Linked DNA regions of Caenorhabditis elegans. The protein of the gene in region 1 purifies or fractionates together with the protein of each later gene. This does not show direct contact. Each region holds a gene or a part of one and is shown in the gene's direction. Other genes may lie near its edges.

The links.
Region 2: the proteins of apt-9 (region 1) and dab-1 purify together in Caenorhabditis elegans (affinity purification with western blotting, with the first as the bait; one study listed by BioGRID). This does not show direct contact.

What each region holds. Positions count from the first base shown.
Region 1 is NC_003284.9:11,062,438-11,078,098, forward strand, and holds apt-9 (ADP-ribosylation factor-binding protein GGA1), read left to right. Parts: upstream 1-6,089; 5' UTR 6,090-6,328; coding exon 6,329-6,368; intron 6,369-6,418; coding exon 6,419-6,498; intron 6,499-6,868; coding exon 6,869-6,952; intron 6,953-7,048; coding exon 7,049-7,325; intron 7,326-7,380; coding exon 7,381-7,508; intron 7,509-7,564; exon of another isoform or gene 7,565-7,654; intron 7,655-7,672; coding exon 7,673-7,825; intron 7,826-7,872; coding exon 7,873-8,056; intron 8,057-8,260; coding exon 8,261-8,349; intron 8,350-8,397; coding exon 8,398-8,451; intron 8,452-8,500; coding exon 8,501-8,619; intron 8,620-8,662; coding exon 8,663-8,826; intron 8,827-8,871; coding exon 8,872-9,041; intron 9,042-9,115; coding exon 9,116-9,340; 3' UTR 9,341-9,610; downstream 9,611-15,661. Other genes in the region: lpr-5 (Lipocalin domain-containing protein), read left to right, coding at 1-373, 422-643, 691-816, 863-1,253, 1,303-1,565, 1,623-1,763; lpr-4 (Lipocalin domain-containing protein), read left to right, coding at 2,751-2,864, 2,913-3,050, 3,125-3,530, 3,603-3,770, 3,819-3,977, 4,026-4,123; W04G3.5 (Ribose-phosphate pyrophosphokinase N-terminal domain-containing protein), read left to right, coding at 11,227-11,362, 11,409-11,475, 11,521-11,693, 11,939-12,054, 12,103-12,190, 12,602-12,777, 12,921-13,067, 13,181-13,339; W04G3.12 (uncharacterized protein), read right to left, coding at 13,745-13,847, 13,908-14,055, 14,124-14,250; W04G3.10 (Phospholipase A(2)), read right to left, coding at 15,335-15,437, 15,483-15,621.
Region 2 is NC_003280.10:8,215,985-8,233,842, forward strand, and holds dab-1 (PID domain-containing protein), read left to right. Parts: upstream 1-6,403; 5' UTR 6,404-6,491; intron 6,492-10,331; 5' UTR 10,332-10,345; coding exon 10,346-10,454; intron 10,455-10,735; exon of another isoform or gene 10,736-10,856; coding exon of another isoform or gene 10,857-10,917; intron 10,918-10,963; coding exon 10,964-11,019; intron 11,020-11,072; coding exon 11,073-11,492; intron 11,493-11,568; coding exon 11,569-12,209; intron 12,210-12,254; coding exon 12,255-12,402; intron 12,403-12,530; coding exon 12,531-12,641; 3' UTR 12,642-13,165; downstream 13,166-17,858. Other genes in the region: M110.3 (E3 ubiquitin-protein ligase MARCHF5), read right to left, coding at 1-74, 320-442; ifg-1 (MIF4G domain-containing protein), read left to right, coding at 1,270-1,318, 1,361-1,454, 1,499-1,615, 1,761-2,853, 2,908-3,111, 3,163-4,129, 4,183-4,753, 4,800-5,025 and 1 more; M110.9 (DUF148 domain-containing protein), read left to right, coding at 15,334-15,417, 15,563-15,622, 16,272-16,367, 16,414-16,608; nte-2 (Putative patatin-like phospholipase domain-containing protein M110.7), read left to right, coding at 16,854-16,898, 16,946-17,033, 17,079-17,178, 17,355-17,664, 17,711-17,797, 17,848-17,858.

The sequences.
Region 1 (15,661 bases):
GTTTTCCAATTACTTTGAACTTGATGGGCATGCTCGCGAATTGGTGGACTCTCTGCTAGGACCCCGCCCAGGAGGCCTTTTCCCGGAAAAGACGTTCGAGATTGGAGCCCCACAAGGTCCAGTTCAAAATGGAAATCAGCCAACACACGTTGTTTCAAGCCTAGAGAAGACACTTGAGTCATTCTTCACTGCTCCAGAGCTTCCCGCTGGCCAAGCACTTCCACCAGGATTTGGGTCTGGGTTTTCCGTTGCAAACAACAATAAGGCATTGACTTCTTTCGGAGACATTCGTCGTTCGCCATCAGGCAAAAAGGAAAACCAGGAGGTAGAAGGATCCGGTGCTGTCGAAAACTCAATTGCAGGAATTCCAAATGTACGTAAATCATCTTTCTGTCAGTCCGTTTTAAAATTTGTATTTTAGGTATTCTTGAAGTTGGCAAAACAACCAACTGCTCTAGTTGACGCATTCAACAAGGCAGTTTCGGTTCCAAGAGACTCCAGCGGAAACCCAGTGTTTGAGACAGCACCAGTTGTCCCAGAAGGTGGATTCCTTCCAACTTCAGAAGTTCGTCGCTCTCCATCTTCAGTATCTGAAGTCTCGCACTCAATTGATTCTAAATCAGATGAACTTAATACAGAAGAGGTAAATTTTTTTCGCAGCGTTCTCGAACATTTATTTTTATCTTTTAGTATGGAGGTCTTTCCGAAGACTCAAACTCGTCTGGAGGTGGATTGATTGGAACTATTTTCAATCTTATCAAGCTCGGAGGAAAGAAAGCTAAGGAGAACGCCAAAAATGGGAACGGAACCGCTCCAGTAAGATTTCATATTCTTTTTAACCATCTTAATCGAGTTAATTTAGGAAAAGAACACTATCGGAAAGGCTGTATCCAACCTCCTTTCGGGAGAAAACAGTCCATTCCCAAAACCTGGTAGCAACATTCTGACTGATATGCTTTTCAAGACTCTTTCCAGTGGTTCACTCGAGTCCAATGGAACTGAAATTGAGAAGAGTGAAAATGGCTCAATTGTCCTTACCCCAGCTCAATCTGCCGCCATCAGCAGCAATCTTGAAATGATTCAAGATCTTATCATCAAGCCAAACTCTCCACTATGCACACAAAAACCAATCCCGGTTGAATTTGAACTCGATCCTCTTATGGGACAATGGTACCAAGTTATCTACTCTCCACCAGTATCTACTGGCCCTTGCAGCATGGTTTCTTACAAAAAACTTAGTGATAATGGAGAAGGTAACGTGCATTAATAGATTTTAATCAGTTTTAACTAGTTGTTTTTCAGCCACCGGATCAATCGTAGATGTCTATGAGTACACAACTGATGGAACTCCATATGGAAAGCCAATAATCTCTTCTGGATATGCCTTGGTGAAAGGAAAGGGAGAACTCATCTTCAGAACAAATTCCAACAAAGAAGATGTGACTGTGCACATTCTTAGCGTTGGACCATTGAATCATCAGGGAGAATATGAATATGTTGTCATGTCCACCAACTGCAACTATCCAGTCTATGTATTTGCAAGAGATACTAGCATTTTCAAGCAGGTATGAAAATTAATTAACAGTGATTATGTTGTGATAATTCAACTGATATTATTTTAGAAATACGAACCAGTTGTCAATGAGTTCCTGGACAAGAGCGGAATTGTGAATGGAATCTCTCGCCTGCTTAATGTTGTTGCTCCAGTCGACAACACTATGTGCATCTTCCCACCACATCTTTTCTACAACCAAGGAAGATAGTTTACTCGCCACCATCTTAATAATTTCTAATAACTCCTAATAATTTTTAATATGGTTTTTTTCCATCCATCATCCCGTTCTCATTGCCCTTTCTTCTCTTTCAACCCTCGGGTGATTACCTCATCTTTTTAAGTCTTAGTTTACAATCCAAAGCATTTTTCTTTAATTTTCATTTAGAAACTACACAAAAAATCAGGCCGTGGGCTCGTGCATTCCTTGTTGTATATAGAATTTCGAATAATTTATTCCTTTTTATAATTTCGGTTATATTTTTTCTACGTCTTTCACACTTGTCCTAATAATGTTGATAATATGCAGTTAATAAATTTTTTAAACTATCTATTTTTAACATTTCTTTAGTAATGAAGAAAGAAGTACAATTATTAAACGGATGCGCAATTCTTAACAAAAATGGCATCGTCGAAAAATCAGAGTTGATGTTTCTATAATTGATCATAAAGGATTAAATACAATTAATGAATATTCTCAATTTCTCGGCCCAGATCATTCTTACAACCATGTTATAAAATTATTCAGAAAAGTCATTTTTTAGAACTTAAAACTTTGGTTTACGAAAAATGCCGATTTTGACTTATTGAGAAAGGGGTTTCTTCTTATTTTCTTGTATCAATTTACTCATTTTTCAATTAGGTCAGGTCAAACTCTGGAACAGTGTTTGCCTGTCACATTTATCTTCATCATTCCTATTTCTGAGAGTATCTCTCTATCTCTATCAGAGTAATTCAATCCAGAGGATTAGAAAGGGGTACGGGGAAAAGCGAATATCGGTCAAGTGAAAGTGGTGACTGTCGCAATGATTCGCGGATACAGTCCAGTGAATCTTGCATGAAGAGACGCAAAAGAAGAAGCGAAAATTGGCACGTAACGAGAGTGAAAGCCTATCGACGCTGGACATTTTGAGGTCAACATATATCTCACCCGGACGATACAGCCCATTGAGAAAGCCCACACTTGGAAGTTCTAACGATGCAACGGCTGACGGCGGTTGTTTTCGCCTGCGTAATTGGAGGAGTTTTCCTCGCTGCACCAGATGCACCAACATTCGATAGCCTGCCCGCTGGAATCGACCCAACTGCAAAGGTAAACATTTTGTATTTTTTTCAGTTATTTGAGAGTGCTCAATTTCAGATTGGACCACCAGGAACTGACGACAAAGCTCTTGTGAAAGTTGGAGAGGTGGCTGAATCAATTTTGGATAAACTTGGATTCAGTACCAGAGATGAAAAGGATATTCGTCGTGCCCCAGTGCCAAGTTCTTTCTTTGGAGTGAGTATCTATGTAAATCTGCTGAATGAAATATTCTTCTCGTTTCTGAAATTAAAAAAAAATCTGACGTTTAGAGTGACGATGTCAACCAAGTTATTGAAGAGGCTAATGCTAATCGTGTTGACCTTCAAGGAATCACCTCTGGACAAATCCCAGGACTTGCTCCAATCCCAGTACCAGGATTCCCAGGACCACAGGACGCACCAGTTATTCCAGGAGTCAACACTATTCCAGGACTTAGCAATTTTAACTACCTTGTCGGACAACTTTTCCCACAAATGATTCCACCAGCAAACACTCTTCTAGGATCTTCAATCAGCAGAATTCTTCCAAAGGATACTGCAAAAAATATCGCAAAGGATGTGTTCAGAGCTGTTCACCCAACTGCTGAAAATGTAGATACCGCTAGAATGATGGGAAGATGGTTCCAAGTTATCAACTCTCCACATGTCATCCGTGAGGCCTGCACCGTGTCACACTGTAAGTAGCAGATTATATATGTCTTAACTAAAACACTTTTTTTAAACCATCTTGCCAATGTTCAATTTTCAGTCGGAGCCCTTACGAACAACACATACTCTGCTTCCTTCACCATCCTCAAGTTCTACAGAGAAGGAAATCCAAATGGATCCCCAAGATATGCTCTCGGATACGGATTCAAATCTGGAGAAACTGGACAATTCGTTCTTCACAACTCCAATTCTGCTGATGCCGAGCCTTGTAAGTTATAAACTAACTACATAATTGATAGTTGTGAAATATGCTCAGTCTGGGTTATCAAGATGGGACCACTCAATGAGTACAAGCAATACGACTACGCCATCGTTTCTACCTGGGTCAGATATCCAGTCTTTGTCATTGCTCGTGACCCAGAACGCTTCAGAAAGCTGCACATGAAGAATGTCCTCGAATTCTTGCAACAGAACAGTGAGTTAACATGGTAGAGCTTTTTTATTTAATAATTTTAATATTTAGACTACATCAACGTCATGACCAAGGCCTTCAACATGATCTCTCCAGTTGACTATGAAGCCTGTCAGTACACTCCAACTTTCTCTGGAACCGGAAAGTAATTGCTTGCAAGCGCCGTACGACTGTCATCTCGCTGTCGGGTATCCTCCATCAATTAATTGTTTCTCCCCAAACATTCCATTCTGTGTGTAGACAGATTTTGTAATAATAATAATTATAATAATGAAACTAATAACAACAAGAAGTTAGTTATAATAACTTGTAATTTTTCCCTTTCCTTGTGCCTCATTAATAACGGATTCTATGAAATCCTGATCCTCAGTTTGACAATAATAAACTATTTGATATTAAACCGTTGATCCTCAGCAAGTGTATATATTTTAAAATTAAATAAACAGCTTCTTTTTAGTTACATAGAAACTGTAAACTAAACACTCCGAAGGCAGTTTAAAAAAGGTAAATGAAGTTTACAAAAATGCCAACATAGTAGTGGAGCGGGGCCATCGGAAACCGATTAATATTTCAGATGTGAAATAGCTAGACAATTATTCAGAATGATCTACCGTTTTGAGTAACATAATCTGTTAAAATTTAAACAAGTCAACAATTGCTCATTATTTTTCTAATTTCATCATTCCTACAAACTAAAATTATTTACAGAAACTGCTCCCTACTCTGGAAGTTTGAACCTTAAATAATAAAACTTCAGGGATTTGAATTTGTGTTCCGCAATTAACTGTTTAAGCTTTTGGATTACAAATGTCTTGGTTTTATACCTGAGGTTTGAACAAACAGTTTTCAAGATTCACAACATCCATTTAAACTTTATCACCGACTCACAGAAGATGCTTCCTACGTGCCAGTTATTTTGAGAGATAAAGAGGAAAGCCTCTTTGGAAAAGTGCAAGCAACATTTTTCAAATATCCAGGTCATCTTTCCCAAATCTTGTCGACCAAAGGCGACTGTGTTGCGCATTGCGCTTCTCAGTGGATTATGTCAGATTCGATATCAAAAGTTTTTCTTGGACAATTCTCTCATTTCGCTTTCGTAACAAAATTGGGTCATGGTCGGTTGTGTTTTATCTCGAATTTCCCGGATAGCTGATTGTAGAAATCGGATAAAAAGAATGAATTAAAACAGGGAAGTTAATTTGAAAAATTCGAGGAGAAAGGCAGCCGGAAAATTTTATTTTGCGTGTCAGTTGAGAGAAAAGTGTTTATTATAAGCGTGTTTAGTTCAGGACCTGATACTTACAAACATGGTAAAAAACGAAACTGGGCAAATTAGGAAAAATCGAGTATTTTGCCATTGAAAACGACAAAAAATGTTCAACAGTGCCTGAATAAACCATGAAAGTATTGCCCAAGATAATTTTAAGCAGGTATTTAATATTAGTAGTATTTAATATTAGTAGGTAATCAGGTAACAAGTATAGGCAGGTATGCTTAAGGTTCATTTTTATTTTGCTGAAGATATTTTGCTTTAGCTACTTTCAGACATTTCCCCGTATATTTGCAATATGTAGAAGACTGTAGTCGGAGAAATGTATCAAATAAGTATCTTCAAGTAAAAACGTTCTAGAGAATTGCCTGCAAATTTGAATGTTTAAAAATTGACAATTTTTTCCACAGAAAATATATAAACAATTGCATAACTTTTTTAAACTTTTTAATTATAAAATTTAAATCAACTCTACAAATTTCCTCTCAATACTCATTGATTTTCTATTTTAAAGGTTTATGTTCATGTTCAACAATTATATTCACGCGTTTAAATTTTATTCCTAGATTGCTCAATTCATTATTCATTGTCCTTCTGTTCAGGCGCATGTTTTCCGAAAGATCAGCATTTGGGCACGCTCCAGGACAAGCATCAAAATGACAAAATTGAGTTTTAGCTCTCTGAATGTATGTCTCAAATCCGAATCACAGAACTATTCTTGGTCACGTTTAGTGCACATTGTGTTGCATCTCACTGGTCAGAATAAGGGGTACTCATTGCACAAGCTCAAGAAGACGACGAGAAGCAAGATGATGAGTTGCGGCAGACGACAAGACACATAGATCGATAGGCGCCGGTGATGGAAGTGGAGAGCAATGGAGCACGCCTCTCGCCCCCGGGCTTCATTTGAAACCTCTTCTTCTTTTTTTCCCTTCTTTTGCTACTTGGGGCCTTTTAGAGAAAAAAAAGGAGTTGAAGAAGAAGGAAAAGTCGCCGTTTTGCTGTTGTGCTTGCTTGTTTTTCCTATTTCTCCTCCTTTTTCGTTTTCTTCCAAGTGGTGTGCACCAGTTGAACGCTAGCTGCAATGGAGGAAGAACCAGTGCGTCCCATTGACTACTGGGTTTGTAAGTGACACTTAAGTTGGGAATGTGCAGAGAAATTGCAATGATTTTAGGTCGCGCAACAGATAGATTCATCGGTGACGAGGAAAGAATTAAAGCATTGGACTTCATAATTGAAAGCATTTATAAACAAGTAAGTTTGAAATTTGTGAGAATCAAGGAAAACAATACAACTGGACAAAGATATTTTGAGAAACAATACTTTGAAAATGCATGTCCTTTGTTTTCGTTTATTTTCAATTTGATTAGATGTAATTTGCCTTTATTTTTTAGTTAAACATATAACTCAATTTCATCAGTTTGCTTCCGTTTATTGATACTTGGGTAGTGCTCAAAATAATTAAATTCAAATTAATGAATTGAAATCAAAACGTAAGTTCTTTTCTAATTTCTAGCATTAGAAGTAATTTCTGAACCTAAAGATTGAAAAAAATTGAAATTTTATTAAAATTAATATTCCCGTGTTTAAATATCACAAAGATCTACAACGTACAAGTTTTCAGCCTGCAAGTGCACTGCTCGCAGTGGATCTTTTTTCACACAAGCTTTCAAGTCCTTCACAAGAAGAAGCGATGCTTACAATCAGAGTGAGGATTCGTTTACTTCAAAATCATGTTCAAAGATTTTCTATTCAAAAAACCATATTAGACAATTATTTTTTAGTTTAAAATAATGTTTTTCAGGCTCTTGATTATTTAGTACGCAATGGAGGCGAAAAGGTTCATGAGCGCTGTGGTCGTTACAAATTCCTAAATGAGCTTGTCCGATTGATAGCTCCCAAATACAATGGGAAATTGACAAGCGACGCACTGAAAACGGAAATCATAAAGCTGCTGTTCATCTGGCAATTGTCAATCAAGCACATTCCAAAATACAAGCAAGTGTACGAGTCATTAAAATTGAGCAAGATAATCACTGACGATCCGCATGTTAGAGAAACTGAAGTTCCTGTTTTCGCAGGTGATTTTCTCTTCACTTTATAATAATAATAAGTAATATTCACGTCTATTTTCAGTTCCACCTGTCAGGTCATCGGTGTTTGACAATGAAGAGCAAGCCGTTCTTTTGAAAGCTTTATTATCAAGTAATCGCCCAGAAGACTTGGAAACTGCCAATAATCTAATCAAAACTCTTGTAGAAACTGTAAGTTTTTTTTTCAAAAAGTCAATGTTTCAGTCATTGAACATTGAATTATAGTCAAGTAGTCGAAACATCAACTTTGAAATCAACTCTAATCAAATTTTCACGCCTGACGTTAGTGCATGTAAATTCACATTAGACGTAATCCACCCACGAGTACATTGCAGGAAGAGCACAAGCTTGTCAAGATTCATGAACGCCGGAAAAAGTTAGATCATGCTATCAACCTGTGCAATCAAGTTGAACATCTACGGCTCGACAAGGCGGCGGAAACAATCGGACTCGGAAATTATTCGCCAGATAATGAACTTACCCTTCAGGTTTTGATTAGTATAAACACTTTTAATTATTAAAAATTTCGGTTCAGAGGGTAACGAATGAACTGATTCAACTTCAAGAATTGTTTTATGGATATGTCAATGAACTAGCAGAAAACAATGATCCTTGCCTAGAAGAAGTTTTAAATATTAACGACCAAATCAATAGAGTTCTGCCCGAAAATGAAACTCCGAAATGTGGAAATAGAGCCCCAATTTCGGCAAGAACTCAGTGTAAGTCCAATTCGATTATTTTCAATTGGTGGGCTGTTTCTTTGACTTCTTCATTATTAGTTTGTGTTAGCATTTAGTTTCTATAATAAATTAATAAAAACCACTGAACAAAAAAATATTCTTATTTTAATTGTTTATTCATTAAATTGAACTGCAACTAAAAAGATCGCATCATTTCAATTCTATTAATAATGATTATTTAAGTGGATCCAGAGAACCAAGAATTGCTTGTTTTCAACACACCAACAAGCGAAGTGCCTCCTAAGAACGGATTTTGTGACCCCCGTGATTTGGTTAGTAGTTTTAATACTCAAACTTTCCGAAAACCAATGATAATTCAGGAAGGAAGTTTGCTAAACAATATGATAGAGTCGGAGTTCGTCGAAGAACCAAAGGTTGGTTGGAATTATTTTTTCAAAGTTTACGGACAAAAAAATTTTCTAGATCGTTCCCGTTCAACAAATGACGCCCGTTTTGAACCGGAACAGCTCAGCAAGTCCTCGTGCTAGTGGAGACTCTTCTATATTTGAAACTGATTTTCTGGCTGGGAAACGGCTCCCAGAGTAAGAATTATTCATTTGAATAATGTAGTTCAACGATTTTCAGACCTCTCAAACCACCGACATTGAATGAGTTGAAACCAAATACAACAACAATTACGCTAGAAGCTTTAGAAGTTCTGGTACCACCAATGTCCCCAGAACCAACAAGTCTGTCCCCAAAAGCTATCCCTGAGAAAGTTGCACTGAACCCAAGTTCAATAATAATGAGTTTGTGAACCAAGTTACTGAACAAGTTTAATTCAGAAATTCCAGGGAATCGCGTACCCATTGAAGTACTCTACAGCAAAGGTATGAGGATTCTTCTCTACTATTGCCAATCAGATATGACTGTCAGCAATATTCATTCTTATGTGTTGGTTATTCAGAATCACAATAATTTCACAATTAAAGATGTCAACTTGAGCTTGAAAACAAATGATAAGGTAACTGATCTTCAAAAAACAAAGCAATTATTCAAATTCTAATTTCCTAAACCACATCATGTTGATTCATTTAGAATGTCATTATCCGGCTGCAGGATTCTGTCAACAATCTTGCTGGTTTCAATATATTTGGTCAGCAAGAAACAATCAACCTTCTTCTTTGCATTCAGCAACTTAATGACGTCAAAGACGTTGAACTTGACTTCACTCTAGCTTACAAAAAGAGTTTAGAATCGGCGATTAGTGGAAGCTTCACATTACCCATCATTCCAGAACATATTTTTAATATTAATTTTTGAATTGTAAATTGAGAAAAATATTTTTTCGTTTGTTTTTTTTTGTCCCGGTTTACATATTTTGTCGATTTCGAATGACTAGAAAATGCTAAACATCCCCAATTTTGCTTGTATACGTTTCATGTAAAGGTTTTTGCGAAGGAAAATATAAATCTTGATTTAATCTTTTAGCTCAGGCAGTAAAACGCTGGCATTAAATGCAATCTTCATGGCACTTGTGTTGGAGAAGAGTACAAAACTACCAAGGATTAATTTTAATAAATATCTTTATTTTTCCATGTATATGTATTCATTGAACATTATATTGTTCAAAACAACAATAAATGAACTGAAAATGGTTTTAATAATACTTTTCTGTCTTTTAGAAAAAATATTTTATGTTAACCTATGTCGACAAATATATTATTGACGGTGTGTCTAAAACGTCAACTTTTCATATAGCTCAATTGGGTCTCAAACAACGTTTTGTTGTTAAATTTATTAGAAATAGCTTGAAAACATAAACTTTACAAGAATGGTTGTAACATTAGCAACTGATTGATAACTCGGTAAATTAGCACCACTTCACCACCAACTTTAGCCACTTTATAACTGCCATTTACAGAAGTGGCAAAAATTGGTCGAAGTTGGGCAGTGTTTTCACGCTCTGAACAACTGGGAAAAGTTGGTTGGAGTTCGCAAACGTTGACCAAAGTTGGCAAAACTTGGCGAAAACTGGTCAAGAAGTGGACAAGGTTGGCTAGAAAAAAGGTAAAGTTAATAAAGTTAATTGGAAAGTGGTTGAAACCTAGTGGAAGTTAGAAAGTGGAAAACAAGCAACAGGTATATTTTCTAGTGCCGAAAACAAAATGTAACGGTTATTTAAATGCTAAAAAGTTTAAATTATATCAGCACGATGAAATGTCAGTTTAGTCTGTGTATTTTATATATATATATTTATTCAAAACGTCGTAATTGTGAAACAAATTCACGCTTTTAAAAAAGTTTTAATCAAATTTTTTTAATTTTGGAAATTTGAAGTTCGTTCTCATTTCTTCTAAAAAATACTTTGAGCATTGTGGATTATGTCGTCTAACAATTTGCCACTGCGAGAATGCCAAATTGTCGTAAGGTTCGGTGTGCGCGGACTTGCGGACCTGCGGGGTGTCCGTGCGTGAGCGTTTCCATGCACCCCAAAACACCTTTTTTCCCGACTCGTATCGATCTGCAACTCTCTTCACAATATGTTTCTTTCGATTTCTGTGATATTTTCATTTTTTTTATTGAGTAAATTTTGCCTAACAAAAACGTTTAAGGCAAATATTTTGCATCTTTCGGCGCAGGCACTGCCGACGTTTTTGTTTTTTCATGTTTCCACCTTCTGGCGCTCACACAAAGAAAACACCTGTACAATCGTCTTCAATCAGTCAATATGTTTCTTTTTATCAATTCTTATCATTCCGTCTTCTAGTCTCAAAATATAATTTGATTTAAATCGGTCAATTTCTCGTAAAAACATTTGAAGGAAATTATCGATTTTTCAATCCACGCCAAAGCTCTTTTGTGTGCTACAGCTAAAATCAAGTTTCGCAGATCATTTCAAATGATTAAGAGTCTTATCAATGTCAATGACAAACTAAATTTGTCGGCTCGAGGCATAATGTATGGTTTTCATTTCTCCTTTGTTCCTTTCGTGTTGAAAAATATATGATTAACTAGTTTTGTCGCAGCTCTAAAATATGCATGTTTCCAAAAATTCCCTATTGTTATTGGAGCGCACTTTTTGTCTCTCCGTCTCTCTTATCGTTTGATATGCCTATAATCTCTAGCCACAGTTGTTGTTTTTCATTTTTAAGTTGCGATTCCATTTATCGATTAATTAATATTTTACTTACATATTTCAGAAAATCATGCCGGAAAGAGCTGATGCAAGCTCCGGAATGGTGCTTCTTACCGGAAACTCGCATCCTGAGTTGGCGAAAATGGTGTCAGAGAGACTTGAGATTCGCCTCGGAGAAGCGACTGTTTACAATAAAACTAACCGAGGTAAAATTTTGTGTTGCATTAAGAAAATCTAAAATTATATTGACAGAAACCTCCGTTGACATCAAACAATCGGTTCGTGGAAAACACGTCTTCATTCTCCAGAGCGGGTCAAAGTGAGTTGCAAATGTTCTTGATGGAAACTAAATTGCAATCTTAAGGAACGTGAACAACGATGTGATGGAGCTGCTTGTTCTCATCTATGCTTGCAAGACATCGATGTCAAAGACAATCACAGTCATCATGCCATATCTCCCATACAGCAAACAATGCCGAATGCTCCGTCGTTCGTCAATCGCAATGAAACTTGTTGCCGAGATGATTTGCAAAGCAGGTTAGTGTGTAAAAAGATTTGCTTTTACACATTACTAGAACTCGGGCAGTACTCAGTTCTAGTTCTAGTTTCAGTTTTAGTGCGAAAAAATGTGTCATCGACAGTTTTCACATAGGCAAATTTTCGAAAATTGGGAGAATTTGTTTATGTATTATATTATAGTTTTTTTTTCGATCTTTTCCAAATTTTTAAGCCGCTTGCCAAACAAAAAGGTTTTCATAGTCATAAAGTGTTTTTATTTTCAGGTGCCAGTCGTTTAGTCTCATTGGATTTGTACAAGAAGGAGATTCAAGGATTCTTTTCGTGCCCAGTTGACAATCTTCGTGCTTCACCGTTCTTCCTCCAACACATCAAGACCAACGTAAGATAATTCCAACAAGTCTCTGGAAATATATCGGACAATTTACAGATTCCGGATTACAAGAATGCCATCATCGTTGCCAAGTCGCCGGGAGTCATGAACAAGGCCACTTCTTACGCGGATCGCCTTCGCCTTGGTAACATATTTGAATTTTTGAAACTAAATTTCCTTTAAGTACCCTCATACAACTCAATCATCACTTTGCAGGATGTGAGTTATAAATTTAAAAGATTGAGAAAGTGAGAAATAAGCTTATTCAATTTCTTTCTCATTCACATATTATACACAAACACATGATGGTTGGGCGAGTTAACAGACATGGGAGTTTTTCTCTTGATATATTTTTTCTACTTGTGGTGAATGTTGTCTCTGAAACGACGACTCACTTGCACCCTGTTTTCGAAACTTCTCTTTCTCTCTATCCGGCTCCATCTATATAAGTTTTGTCGACTCCCTCTCATTTTTGTCTCGTTTGTCCATCACTTAAGAACATCACACATAACACACTTCATGTTGAGTTTTTCATAATATCCTGTTGAATTTCCAGGTGTGGCTGTTATTCACGGAGAACAAAAAGACGAGGAAGAATCAGGTCTTGAAGATGGACGTCAATCGCCACCACCAAATGTCACTTCGTACGATTTTCTCCCAGCTCAGGAGTCCAAGCAGAAGCCACCACTTACAGTTGTTGGAGACGTTGGTGGACGGATTGCAATTATGGTGGTAAGTTATGCGATACATTTAAAGCTTTAATTCTGTTTTAACAAGCTTCATTAATTGAACAAAGTTGGAGTATTGCTTTGTACTGAGAGAAAGATTGACTCCATTGACACCACCAAACGGAATTTAATTTCAAATATTTCCAGGACGACATCATTGACGACGCTCAATCGTTTGTTGCCGCCGCTGAAGTTCTGAAGGCTCGTGGTGCATACAAGATTTACGTCATTGCCACTCATGGGGTTCTGTCGTCTGATGCTCCTGCACTTCTTGAAGCTTCTCCAATCACCGAGGTTAGTATAAGAAATGTATCATTTGTCACAGAGTTAACAAAAATTTTTGAAAATTCAGTTGACGCACTGATTTATGGTAGAAACAGGCTCAGAACAATAATTCAAATATTCAGGTCATTGTTACCAACACTGTTCCACACGACCTCCAGAAAATGCGTTGTCACAAGATCAAGACTGTGGACGTCTCACTGATGATTTGTGAGGCAATTCGCCGCATCTTTCACAACGAGTCGATGGGACAACTGTTCCGTGACGTCACCCTTGACGACTAGTTCTTCCGGTTACTTGTATTCTTCTCATTGCTCTCAGTTCACTTTGTCTATTCCAAAATTACGCTTCTTGAGTCCGTCTAGTTAGACCACTTTTCCCCCAACAAATCATCAATCACCGTTTTACAATACATTTCCTGTGCCAACTTTATACTTTTCATTTATCCGAAATATATGCTTTTTGATTGATTCCCATGATGAATACAGAATAGGTCTCAGTGCATTGGAAAAAGTCGGAAACTAAACTTATATTTCAGTTGACAAGGATGCACATGTATCAAGGAAATGCCAGTATTTCAATCGTTTATTTAGAATCGAAAAAATGAGTTGAAAATTATCTATGTGTTGACAATGAAGAAATAAGTTACGAGGAGTGACAAATAAATAAATACCAGTTATTGAATAATTTTAAAAACCAAAAGCTCTTTTAATTTTGTTCCAGGTTTCCGTCACTACTTTGTTCACATAGACCATAGCGTCGTATCCGTATCTCACAACAGTTTGTGTGTACCTTTAATACAAGTTTCAATGTAATTTGAAACAGAGAAATTATAACGATTGGAAAACTTACCGACTAGGGCATTTTTCCAAACATCTTGTAAATTCTGCATCTGATTCACGTCGATCAAATGGATAAAATGGCGGATATCTCCTTATGCTTTCATAATACTCGATAACATCGTATTGATTGTCGTGAACACTACAGCTTTTGTTAATTTCTGAAAACAAGCATTCCGATTTTTCATTGATAGTTTCAGAACGTTCTAATTGAAAGAAGCAAACTCACGGTATCTATCCGACGACGGCGAAGCTAAAATAAAGACAAGTCCTCTGGTAAAAAATCCACCTCCACAATCCCAGCATTCACTGACGCTTACAGAGTTAATAATAATAACGAATATCATCAGTTTCATCCTAAAATATTGAGGTTTCTGAGCTCTAAAAGTGAGCAATGCGACTATCTGAGAAGAGTTTGAAATTGAAGATCAAGTGAGAAGGTTTTTTGAATGTTGGAGTACAACATTGCAATACGGCAATTAATCACCTTGAAATCAGTGGAAGTAGAGTTTTGAACAGAAAATTGTTACAAAAAGTATAATAGATATTGAGTTCAGACTGAACATGAGTGTGATTTATTTTGTATGCAAAAAAAAATACAGAAAAAAAAACAATTAAACGGATGTTAATAATATTGAACAATCAAATGCAATCACTTCAAAATCCTAGAGCTGTTTTAAATTTGTTCCAGGTTTCCGTCAGTTCTGTGTTTATGTAGACCATAGCGCCGTATCCATATCTCACAACAGTTTGTGTGTACCTTTAACAAAGATCTCAATGTAATTTCAAAACGAAATTATAATGATTGCACATACCGACTAGGACAGTTTTCCAAACATTTTGCAAATTCTGCATCTGATTGCCTTCGATAAAATGGGGGTGCAAGACCCCATCTTTCAGTTCTCAATTTTTTCGTATTGTCTGTCATGTGTTGTACAACATTTGTTGATTTCTAAAAAAATGTAAGAATGATAAATTGTACTATAAAAAACAATTTTAAGTATGTAACTCACCTTCTTTGTCAGAAGAAGGAGATGCTAACAGAAGAGCTAGACCTTCAGAAATAAATCCACCTCCACATTCCCAAACACCAGTAGCAAACATAAATACAAATTGTCAGTTTCATTCTGAGATATTGGGAATTTCTCAGTTTTTAAAGCAATAAATGTGAAATGTTACTATCTGAGAAGAATTTTAAATTGAAGATCACGCGTGAAGAAATGTTAAATGTTGGAGTGCAACATTGCCATACGGCAATTAATCACCTTGAAATCAGTGGAAGTAGAGCTTTGAACAGAAAATTGTTACAAACAGTAGATTGAATTCTGAATGAACACGAGGGTGATTTATATTTTATGGGCAATGAAGAACCAAAATACAGAAAAAAATCAATAAACGAATGTTAATAGTATTGAATAATGAAATGTCAAATGAATTATTTCAAAAGCCGAGAGCCGTTTTAAACTTATTCCAAGTTTCCGTCCCTACCCTGTTCATGTAGACCAATGCACCATAGCCGTATCTCACTACAGTTTGTGTGTACCTTTAATACAAGTTCTGTTTTAATGATGAAAATTATAAATTTCACCGATTCGGACAGTTTTCTAAGCATAAAGCAAATTCGGCATCTGATTCCCTTCGACAAAATGGGGGTTCACGACCCCGTTTTTCACAATCCTCAATTTCTGTGTATTGTCTGTCATGAGCCGTACAACATTTGTTGATTTCTAAAAACAAAATGTCAATGATAAATTGTAAAAAAAAAAT
Region 2 (17,858 bases), on another chromosome or scaffold:
CACTGAATACACATAACTTGTTGTACAGCATTCGCTTTCGAAAACCACATGGCCAGGCATTGATGATGAACCCACTGAAAAAAAAGTTGGAGTGAAAAACTAGAATTATTCGCGAAAATCGAACAGTTTCTCAAGGTTATAACAAAAATTTTTCAAGGTTCCTGAACTTTCCTAGTTAATTTTAATATCAATTTTCGCAATATTTATTTTGATTCGATAAGCATATTGATTCATGTATCTCTTTTTTAATTTAACACTCATAAATTTAATTTTTCTATTCAATAAGCATAAAAAACATTTTTCGAATATGAAATCTCACGTGAATAGATCCTCGACATCGACACGGATGAACGAAGCTTAACGCATTATCACTTTCCGTTCCGAAGCAGAATTTACAATATTTCTCGGTTTCCTGCTCATTTCCGTCGATTTCTAACGCCATCTTCCGTAACGGTTTGTTTATTTGTTTTTTTTTAATATAAAATCTGATTTCCAAAGAGGAAACCGGATTTCTTTGGTAGATACTTGAAAAGCGATGTGATGAGGGAGAAATAGCGTGCAAAGAGAGGAGAGTTGTGTCGATTTACGCGAGTTGGAACTATGGCAGGCAACTTGTCGCTACGAGACCCATTGTCTCTTGGCTCAGCCTAAATTTATATCGATTTTTCGGAAAAAAACAAACGTTTTGTTGTTTTTTAAACTTGATTTTTGTTTCATAGGTTCAAAATTTTAAATTTCGATCAATATTTATTTCTTCAATGTTTTGAAATCAGGCATTTCGAAATTTATTGATTTCCGGTTGCGAAATTGGTTAAGACTTTGTTTACTTTCTGTTCTGACTGGCGATATCTTTGGAATTTACTCATAATTTTTGTTAAGTTCTTACAGATTCACACGGACTAAACGTAAAACCACTTCTATGCGATTGTATTTTATAGTTTTCATCGATCCATGTAATTTCTCTCGGTGTGCACGTTCTTTAAATTCTGTCGATACATGCACATCTTCTGCTCTTGAGTATGAAGGAGACGATGTGCAGTCATTTTTTATTGTTGACATCACCAGTTTAAATAATCGATATTCTAAACGCTGCGTTCTGCACTTTTTCTGTTCTTGCTATCTGTAGAGAAAACACTTTTACCTTCACTCTGCTCTTATTTTGAAAAATAACGTTATTCCTCCTCCCTCAATTTCCCCTTCTCTAATTATTCTCTATCGTTTTTTATTTTATTAAAACTCTTTTCAGTGACTTCCTCAAACTGAAAGATTATGTCAAACGCTGTTAGTAGGGGGCCTGGGAGAGGGAAGCCGAATCAAGGTAAGTGCTCACGGTTTTTGTCAGTTTTCTAATTCCTTCAAGGTTTTCATTCAGATCACAATGCAGTTCCTATGCAGGATTCATCCCAACAATTCGTGATGCCATTTGTTAACACATCTGGCCCAGTGAACTCAAAGTAAGAAGTTGAAAATATTTTCCATGGCTAAAGTTCTTTTTCAGCTATCAAAGAATGCCAATGAACCAGTCGGCGTATCCACAATATGGCCAACAACAATACAACCAACCACAAACAAATCACTATTATCCGCCACAAGCACCACAGCACCAGCAACAATAGTAAGTTTTTTTTTAAATATTAAATATATTTAGCTTATCATTTCCAAAATTTTACTCACACTGAAAAATAAATTTTCTTAAAAATATGAGTATCCCAAACGCTTACTTCTGTTACCTACCAGTTTTTCATGAATATCATTTTCAGTGGTGGATATCAGCGACCGGACTATGGTCATCAACCACAGATGTACAATCAACAGTACCAAGGCTACCAAGCTCCTCAGCAATACCACCCAGAAATGCCATATCAACCAGCTCAGCCAGCACAACAACAGATGACTCATACAGCTCCACAAGAACCTAAACGGCAAAGGAAAGCACTGGAAATTGTCGATCCAACTACGAAAAAGGCAATTGAAGTGACGCCTCATCTTGCACCAGCTGCACCAGCGCCAGCGGCTCCAGCAGCCCCGATTGCCCCAGAGGAAGAAAAGAAAAAACAAAACATTACTTTAGAATTCTTGAATCAGGTCAAAAATGAACTACATCATGAAGACAGACGACATGATAATCCTCCTGCGGTCCCAGCTGCGGTCCCAGCTGCGGTGCAAGCTGCTGTACTTCCCAATTTTAGCGTACCACCGCCAGCCCTGGGACAGACACCTCCAGCAGCATCCATAGCTCCACAAGTTGTACCGTCCGTTCCGAAAACTCCAGAAGCACCAGCAAAGGCTGATTACGAAGTAAAACAAGCAGAAACCCTTGTGACGCCTGTTTCATCTCCCCATGCATCAGACACAACCACCACTACGCCCGCCAGTGGAACTGCAGAATCAGCATCTACTGTAGCTGATGTCAGAGTTACTCCAACACTGACAAAGGAAGAATCAAAAGAGGAAACTGATGATGATAAATTTGAGGAGAATGATGAAAGAGAAAGTACGCCAGACGTTGCTGACTCTTCTACAGAAAAGACTCCTGAGGAGCTGGAAATCGAAAAAGCACAGAAAGAAGCCGAAGAGATTGAAAAGAAAAAACTTCGCGAGGAAGCTTTAGAGAAAAGAATCGAGGAGCTTATCCTGGCCGGAAGTGCTGTCATCTCGGATGGAACTTTTGGAAGAGATTTCATGGTTACTATTCGCGAAATTGAAAAAGTTTTCTCTCGGACCCCATGTCCACTGTCACCAGCTCAGCTAGCTGATTTCGGATTGGATATCAAAACGATGCGAGTTTCTGATAATAAGAAGCCTAATTTCACACCAAACTGGGCAAACAAAGGAGGAAACCGCCAGCAGGTTGTAAGTTATCATTATTTAATAAAAGCCATAATTCAAACAATATTGTATTTTCAGCCATACCGTGGAAGAACAACCACAGATGGAACCGGGCGTGGCGGTCAGCAGCAAAGAGATCGTATGCACAACAAGCGACCACCAGTTGTTAGACCTTCGATTGAACGAGTTCAGAGAGTTACACTTCCATCATCGAAAGATGCATGGAAGCCAGACCGTCAAAAAACCGCGGAAGCTGTTGCAAGCGAGGAAGCTGCGGTTATTGTAAGTTATTCGTGATTAATCAAAACTATAAACTGTTAAACCAAATTTCAGGAAGTTTGTAAGAAGGTTCGGTCTCTTATGAACAAGGTGACGCCTACATCACAACGTCCTCTCACCGAAGAATTCATTTCCTACAATGTATCCTCCAACGATGCGCAGCTCGCTCAAGTTGTCGAAATCGTCTTTGACAAGGCAGTTGAAGAGCCAAAGTTCTGTGCTTTGTACGCTGAAATGTGTAAGGCTCAGGCGAATCATGAACTATCCCAGACCGGCGGAAAGTCAGCCTTCAGAAATAAGGTTTTGACTCGGACGCAGATGACATTCCAGGATAAAAAAGACATTGATGCAGACAAACTGGCAATCATCGAAAAAGAAGAAGATCCAGTGAAAAAGGAATTGATGCTTGCAGAGGAGAAACAGAAATTTAGACGGAGAAAGTTCGGAGTTATGACGTTTATGGGTTATCTGTATAGAAATCAACTTTTATCCACAAAAATCGTCCAAACGTGTACATTCGAATTGTTCAATTCGATCAAGGACCAAGATATTAAAAAAGAGGATGTCGACGAGGAATCTATTCACTGTGGTCTTCAACTCATCGAGACTGTAGGCGTGATGTTGGATAAATCAAAAGATTCCACGACCGTATTCCTTGATCAATGGTTCCAGAAGTTGGAAGCTGCCAAACCTTACTGCTCAAACAAAATCCGTTTCATGATCATGAATCTTATGGAGCTTCGCAAAGACAAATGGATTCCAAGAAAATCTACCGAGTCTGGACCGAAAAAAATCGATGAAATTCACAAAGATATTCGTCAAGAGAAGATTGAAAATGAGAAAGCTCGTGATCAATATGATCGGGATCGTGATCGTCGTCATGGAGGTGTCAGACCAAACAGCAACTCTCTCAGAAAATCAGTTCCAGTCTCCAGGAATTCATTGGATAGGAACCGAGGAATGCAACACCCTGAACAAAAAAGAGCCGCTGCTGCAGCTAACACAAAACTTGCCTCATCGAGTAAGTATTTTCAGACAAATATTTCTTCAATATTAATTAATTGCAATTTCCAGGTGTTCAACCCAAAAACATCTCGCTCTCTTCGATGGATAATAATACTCTTGGGAAGAGCAAAAAAGAGTGGCATTCTGGTGCTTCTGGTGGAGGAAACACTTCTTCCGAATCTGCCGTTCCAGTCAAATCAGCTTGGGGGCGACGTGATTCCAATGATCAACGCAAAAAGTCGACTGTTGACGAGAAACAGGCCGCTTTAGCTGCTGCAAAGGAAATCAGTGCAATGTCAATTTCTTCGCGGCGATCCACATCACAAAATTCGAATACTGACAAGACCGACGATGAGCTGACTGAAGAAGAGAAAGCTGTCAGAGCCAAGATTATGAATACCGTTAAATCCGATCTTCTAGAAATGTCTAGTGGTGAGCTCTCCCAAAAGGAATTGGTTGACTCTATCACCGATTATGTTGGAAAAGAAAAATACGGTTCGCCGTCATTGACAGTAGTCTATGAGATGATTATCCGAGCTGTGATCGAAAAAGGTTTGAAGGATGATGATCGAAAGAAGTTGGCTATTGCTCTGCGGATGTCATTGGTCAGCAAGACTGAGAAGCAAGCTTTTATAGAGGGGTAAGGCAAGAGTTTATGATTTATTGAGCTTTACAAATTATTTCAGAGCTACCCGTTTCTGCAAATTCGCTAATGATGTTGAGCTCCAGCAAGATTATCCCAAATTGTGGACCGTTACTGGTGAAGTTCTCGTGAACACAAGTCATGCTCCACATGACGAAATTGGAGAAGTTGAATCTTTCTCATTAGCGGACATGAAGCCAATTTTCTCAGCTGCCAAAGGAGAAGGAAATAAGAAATTTGACCTTCTTGTTCAAGTTTTGAAGCAATTGGTGAGTTATTGCAAATTTTAGTGCTCAGATTCAGTACATTGCGTTTATTTTTTTAATTTAATTTTTTTCAGATCGAGCTTGAGCTTGAAGTGACTGGCGCTGCAGAAGGAATCTCGTGGGAGTTTTCGGACATGAAGTTAAAGACTGAGATGGAAGAAGGACTTTCAGCAGAAATGGAAGCAGTGACGTTTAAAAATGGAAAAACGTTGTCGAGCTATTTGACGGGCAACTAATTTATCGTATTTTTGGATTTTCAAACTCCACAGTAGATTTATAGAGAACTTTTTTGTGTGCTAAAACCCATTTTAATTATCTATATAAGAACGAGTTGTTGATAATACGGTCTAAACATGTCAAGTTTTTCGTTTTTTCGCCGCGCGTCCATCCCTACCGATTTTATGTCTTATTGGGTATCCCATTAATGGTTTTCGATATTATTGCTTGTTTTTCTTTTGTTAGAGGTTTGCAAGAAAAGTTTCAAAATGAATAACTGATTATCATGATTTAGCTGAAGTAAATCAATTTTCAGACATTCAGATCATTTTTCCTGCAAACTTCCGCTCATTCTACAACTCGTCTCGAAACGTGAAGATTCTCTTCATTTTTCGTTTCGAGACGCAGAAATCAACTCGTTATAGCCCCTTTCCCACCCACCTTACCCTTTTCTTCTGATGATCACTAAAAATATCACGTTTTCCTCCAAATCATTAAATATTTATATCCTCATTTGGATTCCCGTTTCGTTTATTTGCTCCCAGTTCCCATTTCTTTCATTCGTTTTTCTATTTGAATAACCCTTTCATAGTCTCCTTGTTTATTGTTTCTAAATTAGCTGTTGGTTTTTTATTGGTTTCTCCCTTCATATTTCCATACCAGTTGGTCCCGAGAACATTTCTTGCTATGCTTGTTTTCGTGCTTAAAGGGTCTTTTCTAAGAGACGGTCGAAAAGTCGCTGAATTTTTTCGGAGTGCTGGAATTTCGTTGAATTGCATCGAATTTATCGTAAAACGAAGACTTTTGACTAGCTCTTAGCTTCATTTCTTTTCCAAATTTCCTAATTGTGTGTAAGTCAGTGCCTTCGGTCTGATTCCTGGATCTTCTAGAAATTGTGACAATTGGTTAATTTTAATATCCTCTCATCAGCCCATCTTAAATTTTCCACTTCCTTGAATTCTACGTTTTTCCTGTTTTAACTAATTGTCCTTCCGTTATTATCATCATCACCACCTCCACCACAAATAAAAATGGGCATCAAAATTGTTTTTTTTTTTTTTCATCATAGTTCTTGTTGGGGTTGTTCCCCATTTATATAGCTTGCTCTGTTTTCTCATCAAATGCTCACAGTTTTACGTTGACTCGATTTTGAATAAATATTTAGGAAATCGTGTCACTGGCGAATGTAAATGAAATCTAATATGAGAAGGAATAATATAAACAGTAATCGAGAGAATTTCGCCGTTTCGCAGGTTTGTTTGAATTTATTTAAAATTTAGACCTATAAAATTAAATAGTTTTTGAAAAAATTTGCTACAGTAACCTTTGATCTACCCGCGCAAATCTCAATTCTTTTTTCGTTAGAAACTTCATTCATCTTTCCTTGAGACAGGTTTTCAATTTTTGTCATTTTTCTTTACATTATAAAATTTTAAACTTTATTCTCGATCTGCGTAGTAATGGTGATGCTTGTCGAGGTTTGCGACAATGAATAGAAGAATAGGCAACTGATTTCTTTCAATTTTATTCGCTTCTCTCTCTCGTCTTCGCCTCAAAACTATTCTCTCAGTCTAAGACAAAAAACTGGTCTGGACACAGTGACTGTATGCAGAGTGTTTTTAACCCTTTTCTACCTCTCGTGTGCGCGCACGCTCACATACACACGCGGAGGATGTCCGTGAAGAAAAGAAAAGTAGAAGAGGATGAGAGACGTAGACATGTCCAGCATGCAGCATTAGTAGGGGTCCCTCTTCAGTCGATATTTGTCTCAATTTGAGTGGAGGCAAAGGAAAGCCGGCTTTTTTGGTGATCTGATCCTGTCAGTTTTATTTATGCATGATAAAATTAGTGGTTTCTGAGGCGTCCTTTTTTAAGAAAACTCGAATATCTTAATTATAAAATTATAAAATATCATTCAATATCCCTAGTAATGAAATTTTCTACCTTTTTATCTGAGTTTTTAGACGAAACGATGCGGGTTTTAAAAGAGTTTTGGAGATAAATACATTCTGTTTCCAAAAAAATTAACGCTTCGTACTGAACCATATTGTTGACATGGTGCATAGTGACATGGTTTCCCGTTTCAATAGAGCTTAGTATAGTAGTAGTTAATTAATCTACATCTTCTCTGTATGCTTTGTAGTAAATAAACATTATTTTACTTTCTATTTTAGAGAACTACCATTGGTACTCACAAGTTTCGTTTTCTTGTCTCTATTATTTAGTTTCCATGATCTTCACAATTTTGGTTTGAAACCATTGTCCATGTTTTTTTTTCTGCGCAGTTTCGGGTAATTATCCTGTCCCGCCGTTCGTCCCCACCCAATCCTCCCGTCAACACCAAAAAGCGTTCGTTCCGCTTCAATTACTTGAATCGATAGATGTTATTCGTCAATCCTCGTGGTCTCGGCACGAAAAGTCCCTCGCTTTATTCACCGTCCCTCCCACTCATGCTTTTGTTTAGATGAGTCACTATTGTTTCTTTCCGCCTACTACTACTGACTCGGCTGCAATTTTGACCTCAACTCCAATTACTTACGTGTTCGATCGATTTGGTTAGTGTGTCCTTCAGATGGTATTGTTGTGTGTTGAAGAAGTATAACACATTTCTTATTTCGCATCTTTTATTGTGTGTTCATATTGGAATTATAATCCCTTCGTAGTACGGTCTCTTTCCAATAATTGTTTTGATGCTTTTGAGAATTTTGGGTGTTTCTCTTCTCGATTTTTTGTTTTCAATAACAACAACAAAAAGAAATAAAATTCATTTTTTCGAAGTTACTTTTTGTGTTTTCAACGGTCACCTTCAATTTCCGCTCCGAAAAAGAACCTGATTTTCATAAAACGTCCGCCGCCGCTTCGTCGTCGTCATCAACAGAATTTTATCATCGCATCAGACTTGAATAGAAGCGAAAACGAAAAAAAAGACATCATTATATTAATAGTAATTTTCTAATGATGGCCATGATCACAAGTGTGTTGAGATTTCTCCGATTAGTAGATGTAGGAGACGTTGATGATGATGGTGCTGACGAAGTATTCAGTTAGATGAACGTTATTCTGCTTCTTTTCATTCTCATTCTTGACGCCTGCTTGTTTTCCGTTTCTCCGGTTTTTGGTTTGCCTCATTTGAATATATGCTACAGTACTCGACATGAGTGTAAATACTTAGGTTTCCGTATCTGACAGCTAAGCTTATTACGATTCCCGACGGATTTGACATTAATAGACCTAGCTGCATTAATGTTGTTCCTTTATTTTTGTCCTTATAATAATGCTGAATAAGAATGATATTTTAATTATTTTTGAACCGAACAAAAAATTTGCGTAATGTGCAGTACCCTAAAACGATTTCAAATTATCCCTATCGATTTGAAAGTTTTTGAAATATTTTGGTAAATTACGCTGGTTAGGATATAATTATTATGTTGCTATTCACTGTTTCCCAAGTTTTCAATTCGATACTAACCCATATAAAAGAGAAACAAGATTTTTCTTGCCTTCGTGTCTAACATCTTCTTCCAATATTTCGATTTTCTTGCCCATTTTCCCATCCACTGTCCAGGTGACGCATTAATTCAACGCAGCAAAATGTGAAATCAAGATGTTACGTAACGGGGGATCCTAGCCTAGGAATCATCAAGATCAGAGAGGTAAAAGGACATCAGATAGAGGCAGATAAATTCACAAGAGACTGACTGCAGCTGTCTTTCTTTTACGTCATGTTTGCAAAATGACTGGCGGCATCCCCGAAGGTGTGTGTGTCCTGTAAATCTAGTAGTCAAGCACACATTGAGTTTTGGAGGAAAAGGAGGAGTGTTCCGGCGAGTTTCCGCGCGGAAGAAGAGAGTGTGAGAGCAACTTGATCGTCTGGTTGCTGAGCAAAGCTACGCACACCTTTTGGCCATGTTTCCGTCGTTCTGGCTATTGTTCCATATTTGTATTGATTTTCCCTATTTGGTTTAGTCATGAAATGTTTCTCTGCAAAACTTGACGACATTACCTGATTGTTGGTCAACAAATCTTCTTTATTTTTGTCGTTTTTGTTACACATAAGAGTTTTGGGATCGCCCAAACGATTTCCGATAGTTTTATGGCTGATTTCTCTTGATTTCGTAATAATTCAGATCCTCACAGTTGTCGTATTCTCCAGTCAACACAGTAGTGACTCACTTCGGTTTGGATGACTAACAATGTCAATCTGTTTTCGTTTTCTTTCTTCTACTGTGATTTAGTGTTCTATTATGCATTGACTATTACAATAATTAAGTTACAGTCCTGATCTCGATTTTATGAAACTAACTACATCACACACTACGTACTCCCATTCCTGTCAAGATTGTAATCAGCTGATGTAAAAGAATGTCCCCTGACCGCAAAATAAATGAAGAACAGTCTATTTTTCTTAGTTCAAGGTTGACTGTAATAAAATAAAAAAGATTGAATTGAATATTTGTAAAAAATCAATTTCTCGGCTTCATAGAATTTTTCGCCAGATCTTACGCGCTCGGTCTCGCCACGCGGACAACGGGTTACTGTAACTCGTATCAACTTTAGATTACGTCTACGTAATGATCTCGCGTTTTTTGAAATATTATTCTGAATCATGTCATAAATTAATTAGAATATATCGTCGCTCAAATTGGAAAGGTGTGTCTTCAAAATATTTGTCAGTATGAAATAACTTTATTTACCTAAGAATTATTTTCAAGATTGCATAGTGCTTTTGAAAAGTATTGCTATTTGAATCCGACATTTTTTCTTATTTCCATTTCGAAAGTAATAACAAGTACATATCCAGTGTCAACTTGTCACCTTGAAGTATGAAAAATGACTACTGCACTTTTTCACGGTCGTCTTCATTTTTTTGTATTCTTTTATTCCGATATGGAGATGAAAACCGGTCGATCATGTGCCCCCAAGGGGGCTGATCATGATTTCACCCTCCTTTCACACTCTATCCCCCACCACCACCTCACAATTCTTTTTGGTCTCACTTTCGTTCCAAAAAGCTTTGTTATACTCTTAGTTTTCTTTTACTGTAATTTTTAAATTCTATTTTTTTTTCGTTGTAATAAATCTTATTTCTAAAGGTTCTCTCGAAACAATGGCTCAAAAGTCGGATATATCAGTGGAAACGGCAAATGCAACATCTGGAAAACCAAATCCACCATCACCAAAGTCCCGACTTGCAATGCTGAAGAGAACCAAGAAAGGTGAGAACATAGCTGAGTTCCGAAAAAATGATTTCTCAATTTTTGAGAGTATCCAATTGTGAATGTAGAGATATCAATTTGATAATTTAACGAGAAGATAGCCTTTTTGCCAATTTTCAACAGATAGATAATGTTATCTTTTTGTTATCTATAACATTTTCAGGAAAGAGTTCAAAGTTTATTGGTTCACTCTTTCTTTTCCCCCAAAAACTTGTGACAATGATCTGCCAAGCAGAAAGTTTGCTCCTTTCTTCTCTGCGTCTCACTTCGTTTTCTTATCTCTTTACGCTCTCTAGCGCCCGCTCTATGTGATTTCTATATCGATTTCTAACGAGTGTTTGTATACTTTTAAACTCATTAATAGATTTTGCAAATTTCATTTTAAGTGAATACCTAATTATCATGAAAAAGACGCAATTAGGGCGTTCGTTTTCCAAATCATTCAAGCAGAAAAAGGCGCGGGGTATGATTTACTCTATAATTATCAATCTAAAATTTAAACTTTTTAGCATCAAATGCATCATCGGATCCGTTTCGCTTTCAAAACAATGGAATTTCCTACAAGGTGAGTTTTTTTTAATGATTCATGTAGTAGTTTTTGTAAAATTGTTATTTCAGGGAAAGCTGATCGGAGAACAAGATGTGGACAAGGCTCGAGGAGATGCAATGTGTGCTGAAGCAATGCGAACTGCCAAGAGTATTATCAAGGCTGCTGGAGCTCACAAAACACGTATTACTCTTCAAATCAACATTGATGGAATCAAAGTTCTTGATGAAAAGAGCGGCGCTGTTCTTCATAATTTCCCAGTATCAAGAATCTCTTTCATCGCTCGTGATTCTTCTGATGCTCGAGCTTTTGGACTTGTTTACGGTGAACCTGGAGGCAAGTACAAGTTCTATGGAATCAAAACAGCACAGGCAGCTGATCAAGCAGTTCTTGCTATCAGAGACATGTTCCAAGTTGTTTTTGAAATGAAGAAAAAACAGATTGAGCAAGTTAAGCAACAACAGATTCAAGATGGTGGAGCTGAAATTAGTGTGAGTTTTTAGAATAATTCCAAAGATCCAATGCATTTTTAAATTATAAAAGTCCATTGTTATGACTTTATAAAAGTTCCAGAGCAAGAAGGAAGGTGGAGTCGCCGTCGCTGATCTTCTCGACTTGGAATCCGAACTTCAGCAAATTGAACGAGGAGTTCAACAACTTTCAACTGTCCCGACAAACTGTGATGCCTTCGGAGCATCACCATTTGGAGATCCTTTCGTAGACAGCTTCAACAGTACAGCCACGTCAAATGGAACTGCAAATATGTCTGGAACTCAAGTGCCATTTGGAGGACTTCAACTTCCACAAGTTCAACAAATGCAGATGCCAATGGTTCAAATTCCTCAACAATCTCATCAGAATTGGCCAACATCCGGAGCTGGATCATTTGACGCTTGGGGACAACAACAACAGCAGCAACAAATGCACCATGCTCATAGTACACCTGCTTTCGGAACAAACGGATTCTCGGATACTAATCCATTTGCGTCGGCTTTCAATACTCAAGCTCCGCCACCACCACTTCCAACTGTTGCTCCAACACAATACCGTGATCCATTCTCTGTACATTCCTCTGCTATTCCAAATTCAAATATTGATTGGACTGGAACTGGGACTACGAAAGAGAATATGGCACCATCTACTAATATCCAACAACAGCAGTCATCATTGCATCACGCCAGCACTTTTGCCAACTTTGGAGATAATAAGTGAGTGATATTCTAAAACCTAAATTAATAATAATCAAAAACAAGATTCAGGGCCGAAACCTGGAGTGAAAAGAAGGTGACGTCGCTTGAAGAAGCTTTCACGAAATTGGTTGATATGGACGCATTGGTTGGTGGACAGGGTATCAAGGAGACAAAAAAGAATCCATTTGAGCATATCTTAAACCCACCAAAGGTACAATTTAATCTATTTTACTAGCTTTTTAGTTTTTATCTTTGAAAATTGAAAAAATTAGTGGAGTAGGAACTTGTGAAATTGTCCGTAAACTAATTGCAGTATTTTCATTTTTAAATATTTTTCAGGCTTCTCTGAACTCCATGTCGACAACATGTTCTGCTGCTCAAATGGCTGCCACTCAACAGCATACGACTTCATCTCATGCTGATCCATTTGGTGATGATTTCTTCCGATAAATTGTGCCAAACATCGTTCTATTCAATGACCTCATGTGCCATGCAACAACAGCACTCTATCGTTTCTTTGTGTGTAAATTGTAAAATTTTTTTTAATTCTTCATAGTCCCTTTTGTATTTCACTTGTTTTAATTCAGTTTCTATCGCATACACTTTAGACCGGTGATCATCATTTCACACACCCACCCAAAACATTTCCTGTTCTTTTTTATTTTTGAAATTTCCAAAAATTCATATTCATAGCAATGCTAACAAAAATCCTTGTTTTCCTACTTTTTAACCATCATTGATTTGTTTAGCGTTTTAGGGAAATGTTTTTTTGTATTATTATTATTTTATATATTGCATTCAATGGACCACCATCAACCCCCCCCCCCCCCCCAACCATCTCTGTGATATTCTATCGCTATTCTATAGGGCCGTTTTCCAACCAACTTGTCAATCTCTCACCTCCCTTATATTCGCCTAATTTTATATTATCGGTTTGCTCTTCCGCCTTGCGAAATGAAATGCTTTCTGTCAAAATTTGTTAATAAGTTTATAGGAACACTGATTGTTTTAAGGAGGGAAGTAAAAACAAAAAAAAACCGAAAACGAATATATTCACAAATGTTCGATAATGTTCAAACGTTTTCAAAAGTCGATGAAAATTCTGCAACAACACAAGTTTGAAACTACAGTACTCTTCAAAGGCGCACACCCTTTTGTATTCTCTGTGCACGGAAGAATTTTATTTTTTTACTTCATTTTCCGAGACCCGAAGAACTCGGGGGATGTCCAATTGGGGGGATTACCAACTCGGGGGATTGGCCCCGCCCACAGAACCGTGGCTTGCAATACGCCCATTTCTGCAACTGCCGCACGGTTTTAAAACTGTATTTTTCTCAATAGAGCGAGAAATAACAAGAAAAAATAATTTTAAAACCGTGCGGCAGTTGCAGAAATGGGCGTATTGCAAGCCACGGTTCTGTGGGCGGGGCCAATCCCCCGAGTTGGTAATCCCCCCAATTGGACATCCCCCGAGTTCTTCGGGTCTCCATTTTCCACATCAAATAATAATTTGTGAAACTTGGGACTTCAAGCGACTACTATTATTGAGATCGTAGCGAGATTCACTCAGAAAAAACCAGCGTGCGCCTTTAAACTGAAGTTATGATACTTCTTTTAAATTTGAAATCAATTGTGATGGCGCGAGCAGAGAGACGAAAATCAAATTGAATTCGACGCAAGCCGAATTTTTGTTTGGGCACTTTAACAGCCTGGGAGTGAAATTGTATGTATCGACCCCTAAGGCGGAAACAGAAAACAACTTACAGGCTGCTCTAGACGCTGTAGTGGATTGGACAAGGGGAGCAAAACTCACCCTAAGCCAATCTAAGACAGTTCACGTCACAGTAGGGAGATGTAGAAAAGATTTTAAATACCACCTTGACGGTTACCCTATAGAGCGAAAAACAATTACCAGAGACCTTGGATTTCTAATATCAGAAAAACTGGATTTCTCGGAGTATTGGAAGAAATCTATCAATCTGGCGAAATTTCAGCTGGCCAACATTTTTAACCAGTACAGTACCTCCAATAAAAAACTAATGATTCTTTTATACAAAACTTTCATTCGTCCTCGTCTAGAATATGGAACAGTAGTGTCTTCTCCGACGAAAAAATCGGATGAGAAAGCAATAGAGTCTGTGCAAAACGCGTTCACTAGGCGCCTTTATAGTAGAATCAAAAAAAGGTATATTAATCCAACTGATAAAGATTACAAAACAGCCATGGAACGTAACGAACTATTCAACCTCCAAACCTTAAGCACGAGACGTAAAATAATTGACAGAATCCAAGTAATCAGAATGAATACTGGTAAAGTAGACTTAAAAACATCTGAGTTTTTTGAGCAACAAGCGACCCACACTCGTTCTAAAAAGAAATATGTCTGGCGCACAGGAAAAACTAAACTTAGGAGACACTTTTTTGTTAACAGAACGCTTTCTACTATGAAACAACACTGATCTGATATTATTCTTAATTTGTCCTCTTCCCTTCCACGTCTTGATCTCTCCTTTGAATATTCCCGATTTGCATTTCCTTTTGATTTTTTTCTCTATTGTGTTCTGTCTGTATTTTTTCTATTATTATTTTTTGCCTGTTGTGCATATTATTTTCACGACTAAAAATCGTAATAAATTAAATTAAATTAAATTAAATAATTTCCCCAGTTGCGACACTTCACCTTTTATTTCTCAACAAAGCATACACTTTGCCAATTCTTTGCAGTTTTCAATCGACTGTGGCATTTTCAGAAATATCATCCTTCAAGGTTGCTAACAGTTTTCAAGTTGCTCTAATAAATCCAAGAATAGTATTGTGAAAACTGCACTTTCTTACTCCCTTTTTCACAGAGTTTCTGATTCAAATAATTCGCAAAAAAAAAAACAAAAGGTTTGTAACAATCGGGGAGGATAACATGATGTTTGCTTGCCCACCACCACTTGCACCGCCACAGACACTTTTCACACATCTACAGTCCGGCTTCTCTTCTTGTTGTTTTCCTTTGTTTCTGGTCAATTGTTTGTACAGCGCCACGACTCCGCCCTATTTGTGAGAAAGAGCTGTCTTGCCCATCTCTGGACAATTAGTCTTCCTGAATCACACCTGTCATCCGGTGTTCACTAATAATATATTTTCTGTTGGTATGATCAAAAATATTGCCATTGTCAGTGTTGTCTTTTGTGCATTTGTCAGCACACAAAGAGCTCCGTCAACGGAAGTTATTGATGTAAGAAGACCTAAAATGTTTTGAAATATTATAAGTATTATCACATAAAGTTATTTCCGAATTCTTGTTTAGGAAGAATTTGATATTATTTCCCAGATCTAAATAATATTTGATTACTGTGTCACCTAAAAAACAAGATTTTCAGAAAATCCTCGGTAGTGCAGAAACAAAGACAATAGAGCAGATCAACAAAGAAATTGACAAGGTAAGTAACTAGAATCGGAAAGTGTTTAATTGACAAAATTGAAACTTAATTGAAACTAATCTAAACTTAACCTAAACTATATATTGTTCTGCTTCAATCGGCAAATCACATGCTATGGAATTTTCACTCACTACATCTAGACTTTTTTGACTACGAAAGTAATAATTTTAAACCTAACGAAAGCATTATGTTCTACGATTGTTCTATGAAAAAATTCCAATTTCACGGCGCTATGCGAACGTTATAAATTATTATTTCATTTTAAGAGATAATTACTGGATTTTCAAATTGTTATCCAATTTGGAACCTACTTACAATTAGTTCTAAGTTCACCGAAATTACTCAAAAAGTCCGTTTTTTTGGAAAATCTGGCAATTTATTAACTGCACATTTTGAAACACCTAACAAATTTTTGGAGTATTATTATGATATTCGGCCACGTTCGACGATGATAAGTTTAATTAACTTACAGCGCCAAACTTCCAAAAAAAAAAATTATAATAGCTGTCACAAATTCCATATACACTAGAATGGGAAATCTTACTTTTCTTCTCTAGCTGCTACACGCAAATTCAAAATTATTTTCTTTAATAGTATTTATCGGCTGCTTGTTTCACTATCATAGTTAAAAGAATAGAAACATTTTCAGTTAGTAGAAAAATTGGATGAAAAAACGAAACAGGAGCACAAGGCTTGGAAGTTGAGAGTGGAAAAAGATGAAAGAGAACGAAAATCTAGAATATTTGTGAGTTTTCAATTTTTATCTTAAAAAACTTATTTGAAAATTTCAGAAAGTTTTACCAAAACTATCGACACGAACACAACAAAAACTCATCCGAATAGTGATGACACAACAGAATCAAACACTTTCTGTTGGTGAAAAAGAACGAATTCTGAGGCATATTTCGACTTCAATGGATAATAATACTAAAAATGAGTTGGCAAGATTTCTCTCCGACAAGGATTTGTTTTCGTTAATTTACTGATTTATTGTATCATTGAATCAACTATTAAAAACGTTTTGTACATTTTTATTGAATTTGCCTATTTATTTTATTATATTTTGCCTGAATTTAAATAAACAAGCTCTAATTAATTGGCTTGTCAAATTGTGTACACGTAATTTTTATCCCGCCACGGTATTCAACAAAAAAGTTTTCTTCAATTTGGAGACTCAATTTATTTCCGAATAGTTCTCGAGAAGAAATAGGATATTTCGCATTTTTCCGAAATGTTACATTACCTGTTGTCGGTATTACTTTTAATATTTGAAAACGTAAGTGCCTAGACTTCTAAATTTAATAAAAGATAAGTATATTCCAGATATTAGAATTATGTATGTGTATTACATTGGTGATACTTATCTATTACTTCTGGCCTAGTAAACAACTCGAAGATGCTACTTTGCAATGTATGAATAGCCTTCGTGTAGCTTAACTTATTATGTTTTGTTCAGATTTCCCTGACACTACTCAAAATAGCTCGGAAGTGTTCATTGATCCGCCGGAGCGAAATCCAATATTCTATCCAATCAGTCCATTAAGACACAAGAAAAGGTAAAATAAGTTTTATAATCTACAGGGTTTGAGCGATTCTAGCTGCAATTGAGAACTCCCAATGGTTTTGACTAGCTGGATTCAAGTTACACGAACCCCTTAATATATGTCAGAACTATTCCTCAAAAAATCCAGCATATTGCAAATGTAATCTTCAAAGTATTGTAAAACTACAGATCAAGCAAGGAGGAGATGACACCAGATAAGAAACGAGACTCTAGTGAAAAGATTTCAAAGCAGCCTCCCAGAGAACTTTTCGAGCCAAACGAGCAAGAACAAGTACCATCACACATCAAACCGGAAATATTCTTCGTTTTGAAAGCATTAGAAGGCCTTGAATTACCCACAACATGGCAATTAGACCCGAAAGATGTTGAAACATTGTCAATTGATACAGGAAGTGTAGTGTTGTCTCCTGGACGTGCTAATGATGTAATAGTGGTTGTGATTTCTGGAGAATTGGGTATTTTTACAAATGTTAGTTTGGTAAGTGAATAGATCCAATAAATAATGTTTTCAATATATCATTTAGGGTGACAAGCGTTACGACTGCAATATTAAAACACTTAGAAGTGGTGAATCATATTTCTCACAAACTTCCATCATCGAAATTTTGATGGTAATTTCAGTCGTTGGACTCGTGATTTGTGAAAATTGAATAACTTATAGAATGAGAAACC